Neurospora crassa OR74A: one gene and its partner. The protein of the gene in region 1 purifies or fractionates together with the protein of each later gene. This does not show direct contact. Links are inferred from orthologs where the notes say so. Each region holds a gene or a part of one and is shown on either strand. Other genes may lie near its edges.

Region 1 (7,660 bases):
AAGTCGCATTGGACACTCGTCGATTTCACAGCAACTTCAAGCTCTTGCATCGATTCAACCTTCCCAAACGGAACTTCGTATCTTCAATGCATTCTCCCCAATTTGTAGCATTATCTGGGGTGGTTGGTGACTGTGCAAAAAGGCGGGGATACATCGTTCGATGAGCACCAAGGGAAGGAAGGGGCTTACAGGGGCTTACAGTGCGTGTAAAACCTGTGAATTTTTCCAGCACCAACGACAGCAGTTCTGGTGGCATCCTTGGTAGCCCCGGCCCTCCAAAGGTAAACAAACACTCATAAAGCGGGGAGGAACGATCAGTAGAAGAGACAAATGTAACTGCCCACACTACGTCGATTCTTTGTCGCTCTCACCTGAAAAACAGACATGCAGTGTTGATGATATGAGCATGAAATCTGCACTGATGAAACTCCCGTCGATTCCCGTCATCAAAGGCAGATAGATCCCTCTGTTCCTTCTGTTGGAACTGGGAATCCGGGCTGTCAATCAGTCACGAGCTACAAGGGTCAATACATCGCGACATGGGGGTCCACCTGCTCCCATCCTGCACCACGTATGTCACGGCCGGATCAAAGTTGACCGGATCGTTGCGGTACCTGGCACCTATCGCTTTGCGCACCTTCTCCTTGATGTCCTGCCACCAGTTGACTTCTGACTCCACCTCCACCGTTATTGCAAACTTGCCCTTTCTGTCCCGCTTCTGCCGCCGCATGAGTATGGCCGTCCGCACAACAGGCGGCACCCCCGTCTTAGCCTTTGGGGTTCCTTTTCAAACAAGGGAAATTGGACCGCGTTCGGCGGGCCGTGCGCTCATTCGGTCGCAGTGCTATATCGCAGTGAGATAGGTATTTGCGGTGGACTTCGTTGGGAGTTGCGTTGAAGAAATCGAAGCTAGGTAGTCTGTTCGTTGTTGGCAGCGACGAGTGCAAGGGAGAGAAAGTGTCCTCCGCCTGAAGCGAAATGGGATAATGGCAAGAGATTTGTGATGCTACAGAAGCCTCTAATGGGTATTCTCTAATACCTTTCTGCGTCTTCTTCAGGCCTTCAGCACTAGAAGATACCTCTAGGCTTTTACGTGGTTAGACAAGGCGGGAGCGTGACAGTCCACCAGAGAGGATCTGTTGGGCACGGTGGAGTTTGTCGCAACAACCAATGAATGCTACAATTGTCCAGATCGCGTGCAGTTGGATGGGCAAGAAAACGTGGTATACCAAGGGCCCATTCGTGCAGAACCCATCAAAGCGGTTAAGACGGCGACCGGACAACTGATCTACAAGATGGATGCACACACAACCTTATTCACGCACGAGTTCAAGACCCTTCTGATGAGCAGCAACGTCGACCGTCTGGCACACGCCCTCAGCAAGCTCAACCGCCCGACCGAGACCGAGACCGAGATCGACAGCGAGTCACGCATTCGTTCACCAAACACAACGGACACCTCCTCCCCCCCTGGGTGGGATCGCCAATGCAACCACTCGTGGTGCTCAAGTCAGGGTTCGGTAGAGGTGAAGAGGGTGGTTGATTTGAAAAGGAAGAGGAAAACTAGTAAGCCCAAGGCCCGGAAAGCCAACTAAATACCCCGCCAATACCTAAGACACCATTGCACCTTCCACTTTGCAACTAAAATACCCAATAGAAAGCCAAAGTCCTATCTGCATCCAGTGAAGCCCGCTTTGGCTTTCCTGTAACATACAAACGAACAAACCAGGGCTGAGTAGTATATTTCTAGAAGGACGAGTGCGTCGGGCAGGCAAGCAGGACTTTACAGACTGTCTCAATCGTTGAGAAGGGCGAGCGAGAAAATTTGGCTGGATTCAGTTGGTAATAATCTCCCAGTTTGGATGCGGAATGGGTACTTTTCATAATAGTTTGGGGAATCTTCTTAACGTTGAAAGATGCACATTTCTTGGTGACATCGACATGTGCCATGAAAGAGACGCCACTTTCTAAGCTGTGATCACGAAACTTGGGACACCAAAATGATGGCCAGTTGTGGCTGTGATGATAACTGGGAGAGTTCACCCTCATAACTCAAAGAAAGGAGGTGGTTTCTCAAAGCGAAAAGAAAGAAAAGAATTAGGCCTGGACAAATGGTGTCCTGCTGTCGGGCACACTAGGGTAGCCATTGGAGACTGGAAACACGAAGATCGAAACAAGGGGAGGATGTGGGAAAAGAACAGAGAAGGAAAGAGAAAAGAAAAAGGCATCAAGCATTGCGGGCAATGTCATCACGTAAGCTGGCCGATGTCCGGGGCTGCCATTGAGGGCTAGTAAGTCAATGACTGTACTATTGAACTAAGGACGCGACCACTTAAGACGAACCTCACCAAGGTAGCAATTGGAGCTACCCCACTTTTCAGCTGTGATTCATCGAACCATGACTCCTCCAACTCTCATCAAGGTATAAAACCTCGACACCGCAACAAAAGATCCAAAAATCGATATTGCTATCAAAGATACGAGCCATCAGTCCCACCTCACTCACTCTCTCACCATCTCATCCGGAGACAGCGGCACCTCCCGCACCAAAACATCCAAGATGGCCCAGCCCATCACCCTCACCTACCTAACCGTCGACGTCTTCACCTCCACCCGCTACCTAGGCAACCCCCTAGCCGTAGTCCTCACCCCCGCCTCTTTTCGTTCTCATCTCACCCAAGACGTCAAACAGCTCATCGCCCGCGAATTCAACTTCTCCGAGACCGTCTTTCTGCACACGCTCGACGACGAAGCGCGCGATGGCTTGACTTCCACCAGTCGGGAAATCGACATCTTCACCATCGAGGAAGAACTTCCCTTTGCCGGACATCCCACTGTCGGAACGGCGTACCTCGTGCTAAACCATTTGGGGTGGAAGCATGTGGACACGCTTGTTACCAAGGCCGGACCGATTACGATCAGACCGACGTCCGAAGGAAGGGTGAAGGCTACGATTCCGCATGCTGTGCGTATTCATAAGCAGACGTTGGGCGGGATTCTGGATGGAAAGGGAGGGGAGGTGAAGAAGGAGACAAGGGAGATGATTGAGGCTGCGCTGTCCGAGGACCCAGAGATAAGACAAGCGGAGTTAAATGGCCCGGTAGTTAGTATCGTGCGGGGAATGACGTTTTTGTTGGTAAAACTGCCGAGTTTGGAACATTTGGCGAAGGTGTCGACGGCGAAAAGGCTGGATTTTAGTAAGGTGGAGGGGTTGTTGGATAAGGGGGAGTGGGAGCGCGGGTTTGTGTCCAGGTATTATTATGTGCCGATGGAGAGGGAGAAAGAGAGTGAAAATGGGAGGAAGGAGTTCAAGTTTAGGACGAGGATGGTGGAGTTGGGATTTGAAGATCCGGCGACGGGTAGTGCGGCGTGTACGCTGGCGAGCTATTTGACGGTTAGTGGGAGGGAGATGGGAGGGGCGAGGTTTGAGTTGACGCAGGGCGTGGAGATGGGGAGGCAGAGTGAGATTGAGGTGGAGACGACGGCGGTGGAGGGGGAGAATGGGGAGGCGAAGGTGAAGGATTTGTATCTGGGAGGGACGGCGGTGGTGGTTACGAAGGGAAGTATCTATGTGTAGTGGATTTGCTATTGAGTTGAATGTGATGCTGTCTACATTGTAGATGTTGTGAGAAGTGGCATGGTGTTGAGTCGAAAATGACGAGTAAAAGATACATTGCCAAAGTACCTCCCAAACGTCCATAGTCATTTATGCAACATGATTGGTCACTTACCGTAGTATGCGGCTCGGTGTGGCTCAAGCTTGGCAGATGGTTCTCTGCCTGCCGCCAAACCTCCAAGTACCTCTAGCGTCGTCCAGCTCCAGGCCGTCGCCTGCCTGCTGTCTGTGCTAGCTGGCTGGCCGTGGCGCGTTGCAACAAAAAAGTTGGAGGACGACATTGACATCGCGACTTGAACCAAACAACCCATTTTACAGATTTTGCATTGCAGTCATATTATCAAGATGCTTTGCGCCCGTATGTCACAGCTCTAATCTACCGTTGCGCGACGCTGTGCTAACCGATTGACGCAGTATCCGGAGAGGTTCCCGAGGAGCCTGTTGTCTCGAGAAAGACCGGTACGCGCACTCTTCGTCATTGTTGTCACCATCACCGAGATCCCACCATTCCCACCGCTTCTGTTCCCACCAAGCCACACCAGATGCTTCCACGACAGGCCGAAATGCGATGCCATACTAACACATCCCAGGCGCCGTCTTCGAGAAGCGATTGATCGAAAAGTACATCCAAGAGAACCACAAAGAACCCGGCACCGATGAAGAGCTAGACGTCGAAGACCTCCTCCCCATCAAGACAAATCGGATCGTCCGCCCCCGCCCCCCGCAATTCACATCCCTCCCATCCATGCTCAAGGCCTTCCAAGACGAGTGGGACGCCCTGGTACTAGAGTCATACAACACGAGGCAACAACTGGCGAGGACAAGGGAGGAATTGGCCACGGCGCTCTACCAGAACGATGCCGCCGTTCGCGTGATTGCTCGCTTGACCAAGGAGCGTGATGAGGCCCGCGAGGCCCTTTCCAGACTCACAGTTACGGCTTCTGCTGGCGGTGCCGCAACTGGTGACGCTATGGCGGTAGACAGCGAGGGTCTGCCCGAGGCGTTGGCTGCACATGTTGATGAGGTTCAGGCCGAGTACGTTTACCGCGCTCCGTCATCTCGAAAAGTTGAATGCTGACAATTCACCGATCTACAGAAAGCAAAAGGGCCGCAAGAAGCGACCAGTCCCCGAAGGCTGGGCCACCACAGAAGACATTTCCGCTCTGCAACAAACCGCCTACACAGATCTCCCCGTCACACAAGCGACCTCGCTCGCTCTCAACGGTGGTTATGCGGCGGTTGGTGGATTGGACGGCAAGGTGGATCTCTACTCGGTTGAGGCCAAGGCACACGAACGCTCTTTGGAGGTTGGCGAGCCGGTGACTGCTACGGTGTGGATCGGCAACAAGGTCGTCTCGGCCACTTCGAAGGGCAGTGTCAAGGCTGTTGAGGGCGGTGTCGAGACTGGTTCTGTTACGGAGCACGCCGGTGCCGTGACGGGCTTGGCGGTGCACCCTGGCGAGCAGATTCTTGCTTCTGTGGGCGTGGATAAGGGCATCATCTTTTACGATTTGCAGTCGCTGCAGCGTGTAGCGCGTGTCTATACTGACGCTGGTATGTACCCTTTCACCACCCGCCTCACAGTCTCAAGTTACTAATATGAACAAACAGAACTCACATCCTGCGCCTTCCACCCCGACGGCCACCTCTTCGCCGCCGGCACGCAATCCGGCCAGATCGAGATCTTCGACACCAAGACTCTCCAGCGCATGGCCAACTTCACCCTCGGCGCCCCCGTCAAGACCCTCGTCTTCTCCGAAAACGGCTTCTGGTTCGCCGCTACGGGCGTCGGCCAGTCCTCTGTCACCATCTTCGACCTGCGCAAGGAAGGCGACGCCGCGCGGGCCAAGGAGCTCCAAACCGGTGACGTCTCCGGCCTTGCCTGGGATTACACGGGTCAGTACCTCGCCACTGCCGGATCGCAGGGCGTTACGGTGCAGCAGTATGTCAAGGCTAGCAAGTCGTGGACGGAGCCGTTGAGGACAAGCACGCCGGCTGTGGCGGTGCAGTGGGGAGACAAGGCGAGGCAGTTGGTGGCTGTCAGCAAAGAGGGCGTAGTTTCGGTGTTGGAGCCGAAGAGCGAGTAGGATCGCATTGGAAAATACGAAAAGTCGGACTCGGAGACGGTCTAGGTGGGGTTGGCTTTGGAAGACCAAAGAAGATTAAAGTGATGGGCTAGAGGAGCGAAAGGGGAGATCGGGGTTTATTGGTAGGCGTTAGCTCCTGATGAGAGGGCTCAATACCGGTCTGCCCAGTATGACGCAAAACATAAAGAGCTTATAAAGTAATTCATTGGTTTATCTGGACTCGAGCGTGAAAAAGATATTTGATGAACAGGTCTAGTGTAGACTTGAGCGGCGGGAGCATGTTGTTTTAAAGAGCATATCTGTCTTGAAGTCTTCACTTCTGATGATACCGAAGCAAAACGGGGAAATTCTGCGGTGATACTGTTGTATGGCTTCACCTCCGTATTTCGTGATCTCAACTTTGGCAGTGCCTGCGTTCCAACAGCTTCCATATCACGGTCCATCATCAGACCCTGAAAGAGCTCACGACGAGAACAGGGGATAGTGCAACCTGATAGGCTGACAGCTGTTTGTTCCTGAATGCCCGAATCGGGATGCAGGTAAGGTAGTGTACAATTGGACCCCTATGTCTGACTGTTAAGGATGCAGCGTTGTAACAGGCTCTTCTTGCCCGCAGTACTGCTAAGGTACTAACAGAGGCACATTAAGCATGGTCAACGTCAAGTCACCATAGGAACTTGTGAAAGACACCAACCGAGGTGTTGATGAATGACCTTGTGCTTCAGTTTTAGAAAACAAGCACAACGAACGACTTCCCCCGTGCCGGTTACCTAGGTACCGTAGAAACTCGGTTAGTTTGTAAAAAGAAAAGGCCTTCCCCCTTTGAGCGCCCGACAGCCGTGCAAGCACAGGAAGCCGCATACCTCTACTTCTGTACACATATGTCTGCTTAGTTAGTGAAGGCTCTACCGTACTGCCCAACACTAAGGTACCTACCTATCTTGCCTACACGGCATTCCGAAGCACAGGCTCAGACTCGAGTGTTACAGATCTGCCAGCACCCTGCCTGTTATCCAGGGGCAGGTTTTCCAGGCATTAGATAGCTTTTTGTCAACTTCCCTCAACCATTCTTATGAGAAGTTTGGCAGGAAGTCTTGGTGGTAACTTTTTTTTTTCTTTCTTTTTCCCTCCAGTGTCTCAAAATATCAAAGCCTCAGTTCCTTCCTTTGTTGACCGAGTCTCTTCGTCTATCACGGTGATGGTTGGCTCTCATCTTTTAATTTCTATCCGCTCACCCAAAAAAAAAAAAAAAAAAAAAAAAAAAACCGCTTGAAACCACAACACGCTATTCGCTCATTTGCTGACCAAGCTGACCAAGCTGCGTTTGCCACCACCCCTCGAGGCTGCAGACATTCAGCTAGCTCTCCTTCAACCCTGACCTTGTTGTGCCTGATCACCGTCCAGCATACCTAGGGACGAATTGGGCGTTGAGATCTGTTCCCAAACCAGATTCACTTCAATACGTGCACTTGTTGAATCAGCTGGGCGGTTCGGCTTCATCCCGGTCGTTCATCACCAGCGGCAAGGGGGACCACACTGGTGTTGGCCCGGAAGCTCGAGCGAGGTCAGTCTGTGCAGTGCTGCTCTCCACAGTCTTCCAATCGAGTTGGGGAAATGCGCGGAGGCGACTATCAGTGAACAAGCAATTTCACCCACCGAACACCGACACTGGCACCGCGACTTTGCAGTGGAATCAACCTCCTTCCGCCCCCCTCCATTTCCCTCCCGTCATTATGGACGCGGCGGACGACTGGTTTGATGACGAGGGCGGATTTTTGTACCAGGTCGAGCAATTAGTCGCTGAGGGCGAAGGGCAATTCGAGGACCATTACGAAGACCATCTGGCCATCGACAACGACAGCAGTGACATTGACATTGACCTGAGTCTCGACAACAGCGAAGACGATCACGGCGAAGTTTCTGAATTGGACTGGGATTACAACTTGGACGACAACAA
Region 2 (7,550 bases), on another chromosome or scaffold:
GGCGGCGTTTGAGGCCATAGAAGGGATTGGCATATGCTAGAAAGGTTTATAACTGTTTTACTCGACCGAAAGGTTTTATCCGCCCACCGCATCTGAAGGAAGACCAAGTTATCTCCAGAGAGGAGCTTGACCTGACAAAAGGTGCCTCAGTTACCATGGCAGAAAGCAGCAATTAGACTTACACACTCGCACTCCAATGTACACCCACCACCTTACCATTCAGATCCTCGGTTACCGCCTCCACACTTCAAAATCCCAAGCAAAGAAGGGTTGCAGGAGCGGAAGAATACTTTTTGGAGAAAAACAAAAAGAAAGAAAGAAAGAAAAAGACCAAAAGCAAATGGAACAAACCTCGCGGTAACGTCCCATCTCAACCTCCGCATCCATAACACTTGCTGACACCCCGGGCTAGGAGCCATTCAGGTCATGCATTGCACTGACGGACAAGGGTTCTAGCCCACTGGAGCCGCTAGACCGTTTTCAACCGTCCCCTCCGACATAAGCCCTGCCAGAGGGGATCACCAGTGCGGGGCGGAGATGAATTTGGCGAACTTGGTCACCCGACAGCGAGGATGGTCACTTTGGGCCTTACGCGGGTGCTCATCGAGTGCCCGACGGCAAAGGCCTGGATCTGCAGGGGATTTGATGCTAGTTCAAAAAGTGAAGCGGGAGATGTTCGGTGAAAAATGAGGAAATAAACGCATGAAAAAAGAATGGGGGAGGTTAGGGATCTTTAAAGTGGATATTAAAGGTCAAACGCATCGTTGTTTCGATTTTCGATGTGACTACTGACTGTCAGCTTGGATTTCAGCCCAACAACGTCTTCCTTCCTTCTCACTTCATTTTATCCCGATTTCTCATCTCCGACGGTGCTCTCCCATTCGTCGACACACGGCCTTTTTCATATGGCACTTCAAACAAGGGGACCTCGATGAAAGGAAAAAAAAACAAAAACAAAAATAAATACACACAATGAGCTCCCCAAATTCTATTGCTACCGCCATTCTCGCAAACACCGGACAATCACGGAACCAGTTCTACGGTGGTGGCCTCGGTGGTATAGAAACCCCCTTAACAGGACGTTCATTCCTCAGCGTTAGCATCGGCAACACCACGACGGAATCTATGGCTTCGTCCATCGTCAGTCCTCGAACTCGAGGTCGATGGGACCGACGAATCAGCGACGTCGAATCCGGCAGCATGTACAGTCCTACAGCAGCAGCACCACCAGCTCCACCATCATCCTCATGGCTCACAGACGACGACGCCGAAGCCTCATCAGTCCGCTCAGGAGCACTCGACACCCGCCCCTTTCCATCTTTCGGCCCATCTTCGTCCATAGCGCCTGACTCATCCTACTACAGCCAGATTGCACGGTTTCAGGGTGTCCGGAACAGCGTCTCGCTTCCCCAACCATGGCGAAGACGGAAAGAATCTACAACTACGGGGTCTTATACCACGTCAACCGATGATAGCGATGACGAGGAGGATGACGAGGACGATGATGCGTCAACCATTAGTGGTAGCCGGCATGAAGGACAACCACAACGGCAACATGAACAAGATCAAGACGCCGTCGCCGCCGCCACCTCCGCCGCTGCCGTGGATCTCTTCTCCCAGCACCAGTTCATCATGCCCAAGCCTGATGAGACTACTCCCCTTATAGCAGCCGACGACGTGTTGGTTTATTCCTCAGCAGACGCAGGTCACCACCACCCATCATCTCGGACCACTTCTTCACCCCATCATCATCATCATCATCGCTCGCGCAGCCTTTTCTTACGCCGCTTGATTTTTGCTTGTTTTTTGGCTGGGATGGTGGTGGCTAGTGTTTTGCTGGTGGTGGTGGTTACGATGAGACCTCCTCCGCCTGCGTCAAGTGAGGGGACTCAGGAAGAGTGAAGAGTGAAGAGGATGACGACGACCGATTGGCAAAACGAAGCTCATGAGGGTAGACGGGCGGACGGGATAGAGGATAGAATAGAGGATAGAGAGGGGATAGATATAGGCAAGGCGTTGGAGGGATGGATGGCAAAATTTTTTTCATATTTTGGCTTAGCTTTGGGGGAAATTTACTGCGAGCGTCTTTGTTTTGTTTTGTTTTGTTTTGTTTTGGTCTGGTTTTGTGTAGGGTAGAGAGAGGGAGAGGGAGGGATGCATTCCCAGAAGAGGGAGGGAAGAAAAAGACACAGAGCAGAGAGAGAGATAGGAGAGATTGAATGAACAGCTCGGTACAGACTGATTGCCAGTGAAGACAAGCTTCGTCGCTCCCCGGTAAGCTTTTTGCAGTGTATATGATATGACTCGCATTTGGCGTTCACCTTGGCTCCCGCTTACCAAGCCCCTGGGTTGTGAGAATCTCGTAGGAGAAGAATTCACTGATATTGAGAGGGAGGTTGGTCATCGTACTATACATATTCACACGGTGCATCGAGAGACGTCCTCCAAGTACATAATAATGTTCAATGCTTCTTATTTTGAGCTGCTCGACGTCAGTGGCCATTCCACAGACAGTTGCCAGACATACCATGCCATGCCAGAGTTTAACCAACACTCAATTATTCACAACCTGACCACACTCTTCCAACACATCATTCAGCGGAACCCATTGGCCTTCGGCCCGTTGAGCGTCAAAGCATCCAGCTCTTCCCTCGTCCTCCTGTATAACTCCTGCGCCTCTCTCTCCCTCGTGCTCACAAAGCCCACCTCCTCACGCAGCGCCGCCAGCCGGTTCCGAATAGCGGCCTGCTCCGAGGACTGGAGGACCTTGAAAGCGCCCAGAGCGTTGTTCGCCTTCTCCAACGCCTCGTGAGCCTCACTGATCTTCTTCCGCAGCATTTCAGCCCGATTCTTGTAACCGCCAAGATGCAGGTTGAGCTTCTTCTCGAGCTTGTTGCCCTTCTCTGCCGAGGCGACGATTTGGTCAATGACCTCCTGCAGGTTAGGTTAGCCAGTAAGCCTTCGGAAGGCAGGAGGCAGAAAAGGGGTTAGTTGTACATACCTCAAGCGCAATTTGCATAGTGGAAATCTGCTCTTCTTCTTCATCGTCCTCATAGCATCCCAGCCCAAGCAAAAGGGAGCTGCTGTTGCTCTTTTCCCACACCGCTTGAACTTCTTCCGGCTTTGGTTTATCCTTGATTTCCATCAGAACCTGAAGCTTGGCCTCTTGCAACGCGGCGTCGTCGATTTTCTGGATCTCCAGTGCCCGGCCAGTTGGCTGAGCTCCCGGTAGAGGATACTTGGTGGCATCATGAGCTACGAGCAAGGCCGCTTCACGAGCGATGAGAACCTTGACAGGGTCCTCGGCCTGCGAGGCTTCCTTCAAGAGTGACTGATAATCGACTTGGACAGGCCGAGGCAGATCCCGCTGCATGACCTGGGTACGTCTCTTGCGCTCCAACAGCTCTCGCGCCTCCCTGATCTCCCTTTCTCGTCGATCACGTTCAGCAGCATCCTCCTCCAGCTGCTCAGCGGTCTTGGGCTCTTGCTGATCGTCCGGCAGCTCGAGCTCCCACTCGGTCTCTTTGGGCTTGGGAAGAGACGCGAGGCCTTGCTTGAGCTGGTGCCGAATAGACATCTCGCGCATCTTAACATCTCGGGGTGTGCCGCCCACCATGGACATTTCGTCACCGGCATCATTGAGAGCAAATGTATCACGGGGAGTGCGCAGTGGTGTTTGGCCGACGCGGAGGGGCGTGGCGCCAGGACCAGCTCCAGCTGCCCGCAAAGGGGTGGCTAAGGGGTTAGGGGTTGACATGACCTGCTTCCGCGGCGCAACCGACTCGAAGCCGGTAGAGCCCACCCCCTGGTGTAGAGGTGTGTTCTCTCCACCGAGCAGCGAGGATTGCGTCTCTGTTAGTGCTCGGATGTTGCGGATCTCGTTTGCGATGTGGTCTTCCTGAGCGGGGGCCATCGGTGTTCGGATTGGCGCATTGGTGTTGAGTGTCGAGTAGTTGTTGATCAGGCCACGAGTTGCGTCGTTGTCGCTTTCGCGAGCCAGCATATTTGCCCGTTCGCCAATCATGCCCATCTTCACAATTTCCTCCAACTCGCCTTCGCCGACCTGAGGTGCTGGCAGGACCAAAGCCCTCCGCTTGCTGCTCTGTTCTGCCTCGCGCATCTTCTGCAGTTGACCGGCCTTGAGGGCGGCTTGCACAGATGGGTCCTTGTCGCCCTTTCTCCTCTTGCCGTCTCTCTCGTCCTCTTCACCCTTGCGCTTGTTCCCAACCTGCTGCTTCTTGGGGTCGAAATGGGCGCGCTGGTACTCGTTGCGAGACATCTCCTCGGTGGTGTCATAGAATCCGGGAACAGGCTTCTTTTCGAATGGAATATCGGCATTGTAGTCCATCTGGCCCTGCTTCTTTGTCGTAACCTTGATGTTGATACCGGCTGTCTTCAACTCGCGACGCTTCTGGAGAGCGGCCAGTCGGCGTGACTCCTCCTGCTGTCGCTCACGGGCCTTTCGCTTGGCCTTTTTACCCTGTGTGTTGGCCAGACGCGCGCGAGCCTCGCTCAACATTTCTTTCTCATCTTCATCGAGATCGATGGTGTCGGGACGGGCGGGTTTCGTCTCCGGATCGGGGTCGACCTCGCCAGGACGTAGTTTGCGAACATCGTCGGCGCTGGGCGCGTGAGCTTCGCCTCCATCAGGGCCCGTCAGCCCAAGAGCGGACGCCTCCCTCTGCTCAGCTTCGTCGAGAAGTCTTTGGTATCTTTCCAGGCACTGGTTTGCGGTTCTTCCAACGATGGGGGCAATGGTACGCCATTGGGTCGGCATCAGCTTGGCGAGGTGCAGCAGCTTCTCATCCTCCTCCTTGCTCCATTCGATCTTCTTGATGCTGGGATCCAGCCATTCGTTCCATCTTGCCTTGCACTGCTTGGGCGTCTTGCGGGCCAGCAGCGACGAGACGCGGGCCCACTGGTTCAGGCCGTACTTGCTGACCGACGCCTTGAGGATTTCATCCTCGATGTTGGTCCACACACCTCCCTTGACGACGGGCATCTTGTCGCTCGGCCGTTATGGATACTCGTCGGGCGTTGTAGTGATGCGGGAGTCGTTCCGGTAGGTGGGAGGACACTCGGGGTTGGGGTTGTCTTGGAATTGGAATTGAAAGTGTTGAAATGTTGTTGTGTTGATGGGGAAGAAATCCAGAAATTCAAAGCGCTGGCGTCAAGGCGAACAATGGAATCACCCGCGACGCAACTGCCTTGGCGTCTTTCCCAGTATCAACTGTCAAGCGCTAGCCAACCTCAAGACCTTTTTGCGGCAGGCAACAGGTTCCCGCGCTGTTAGCATTTTTGTGTCCCATGCATGTGGTAACTAACAAGCGAGCCAAGCTCCGGGACCCCTGCCTGCCGTTAACCACTAACAGAAGGATGCCCCGCCCTTTTGTCGCGACACGCTGCTGCTGTTGGTCGAGTGGATGAAGCTTCCATCCACCATTTCTGGTTCACATGTCTTTCTTTCCTCTTACATTTCTCAACTCTTTACAGAAATCCCCAGAAAGAACATCAAATCGCTCCGAAACTGGACTCTTTAACCCAATTGCGCTCTCCAAAAGTACGCGTCTTCTCCGAGTACCAAAGCATTTACCCGTAGGATCACCATCGGGCAATTCTCAGATTATTCTTAGCATCCATAAGCTGTCGTCGATCAGAAGAGCTCCCGTCGGTACCTACTTTGGACTTGGAGTGCTCGCCGTTCGAGTCCAAACACAAGTCGACTTCAGGACAAGGACAGCTTGCGAAAGCAAAACTAATCACTTAGTTAAATATTTGTCAACGTTACTGCTAGCACGACGTCTGCCGAGCTACATATGGCCAGCGACGTAGGCTCTCCCCGAAGGGAGCAAACACCTTCCGGAGCTGCCACGACGATCCCTCAGAAGCGCACGCTCGAAGACGACCACAGTCCAGCAGTTCCATCACCCCTAAACCCAGATAACAAGGCCGCTCCAAGAGTCCAAATACAGGCACCCGAAGACACCCAGCAAGCAGCCGTTCTAAACCGCGAAAAGAGAACAAAGAAGGACTCCTTCAAGAAGAGGGAGGCCAAGGCAGCAGCAGGCGGTTCCGATAGTTCTAGAGCAACTCCAGACCCGAAGCAGCAACACAAAGAGCCCTTGATCAACGAATTGCTCCCCGCGCGCTATAAGCTCGCTCCGCCCAAACTTACTGATTTCGAGCCCGCGCGCGGTCCCGTCTTCACCAGCCATCATGAGGTTCAAGGGCCCGAGGGCGAGACCATCGAATTCTTTGATGCAACCGAACAGTATGTCTTATCTATATTTGCTCCTTCGCCATTCTCCATTCATGCGGAGCATATTCTGATTTGCCTTTTTCCTACAGTGTCTTCAACAAGCGAGCGTTCCATTACACTCACTGTATAGCCGACCCAACGTTTCCTTCCATGTTCTACTATCGCCAGACCGAGACCGAGCCGTACGCTGCCCACATGGCCTTCGAGGACTCTGCCTCCCACGTATACTTTGACCGACAGGGTCGTCATGTCACCACCGACAAGGGCTTCCGTATGTCACGAGCCAACGTGGCCGTGCGAGAGGGCAGGTGGTATTGGGAGTGCAAGGTCACTCGAGGCACCCTGCGCGAGCCAGGTTCCGAAGGTGATACCAAGGCGCATGGGCACGTTCGCGTGGGCTGGGCGCGGCGTGAGGCTTCTCTCGACGCCCCCGTCGGGTTCGATTGCTACAGTTATGGTATTCGAGACGTGGCTGGACAAAAGGTGCACATGTCACGGCCGAAAGACTTCTTCCCGCCTGGCGAGGAGATCAAAGAAGGAGATGTGATCGGGCTGGAGATCCAGCTGCCTTCGGAACATTTACACAGGAAGATTGTAACGGGGCATTATAACCCTGCGGTCGACTTGGCAGACGACGAACCATCGCTCGAGGCACCCAACATCATCCGGGACCGGATCCCCATTCGGTTCAAACAACACATTTACTTTGAGAAGATTGACTACCACACAACCAAGGAGCTGGAAGACTTGTTCAGTCCCGCGCCGGTAGCATCGGCAAGCTCAAACTCGCCGGAACCGCCGAACCCAAATCACCCATTGCCGTCGCTACGGACGCTGCCGAACTCGTACATCAAGATTTACAAAAATGGAAAGGACATGGGCACGCCTTGGACTGACCTCTTCGCCTTCCTACCACCCGCATCAAAACAAAGTACTCAGTCAGGGGCACATGCCGGCAGAGAAGCTCTCGACGACGGAACTGTCGGATACTACCCAGCCGTAAGTGTTTTCCGCGGTGGCGCCGTCGAGGTGAACTTTGGCCCAGACTTCTGGTTCCCACCACCTGGGTCTGGTCTTCCCCAGAAGCAGCAGAACGGGGTAGGCGATGAGGACGACGTGGACATGCTTGACGACGGAAGTGTGCCGAATCAAGAACCCCTGCGGCCGGTGTCGGGTCGCTACGAGGAGCAAATAGTCGAAGATATCGTCTACGACATTATCGATGAAGTTGGCTTCTGGGCCCAGGACGGTGGCAAGGTGATTGACCGTTTCAACCTCACGGCGAAGGACG

What was found.
Region 2: the proteins of NCU11357 (region 1) and NCU06994 purify together in Schizosaccharomyces pombe (affinity purification with mass spectrometry; 6 studies listed by BioGRID, with this or other methods). This does not show direct contact. The link is inferred for Neurospora crassa OR74A from reciprocal best matches to the Schizosaccharomyces pombe genes prp19 and cdc5.

What each region holds. Positions count from the first base shown.
Region 1 is NC_026503.1:538,018-545,677, forward strand, and holds NCU11357 (cell cycle control protein), read left to right. Parts: upstream 1-3,833; 5' UTR 3,834-3,961; coding exon 3,962-3,974; intron 3,975-4,030; coding exon 4,031-4,075; intron 4,076-4,206; coding exon 4,207-4,651; intron 4,652-4,712; coding exon 4,713-5,170; intron 5,171-5,227; coding exon 5,228-5,703; 3' UTR 5,704-5,993; downstream 5,994-7,660. Other genes in the region: NCU16616 (hypothetical protein), read left to right, coding at 1,296-1,595; NCU11356 (phenazine biosynthesis PhzC/PhzF protein), read left to right, coding at 2,561-3,577; NCU05697 (hypothetical protein), read left to right, coding at 7,437-7,660. UniProt on the Schizosaccharomyces pombe protein: Probable ubiquitin-protein ligase involved in pre-mRNA splicing. May also function in DNA repair.
Region 2 is NC_026504.1:4,814,461-4,822,010, reverse strand, and holds NCU06994 (pre-mRNA-splicing factor cef-1), read right to left. Parts: upstream 5,166-7,550; 5' UTR 5,003-5,165; coding exon 3,002-5,002; intron 2,935-3,001; coding exon 2,596-2,934; 3' UTR 2,344-2,595; downstream 1-2,343. Other genes in the region: NCU06995 (hypothetical protein), read left to right, coding at 973-1,683, 1,830-1,883; NCU06993 (Ash2-trithorax family protein), read left to right, coding at 5,817-6,271, 6,349-7,550. UniProt on the Schizosaccharomyces pombe protein: Involved in mRNA splicing and cell cycle control.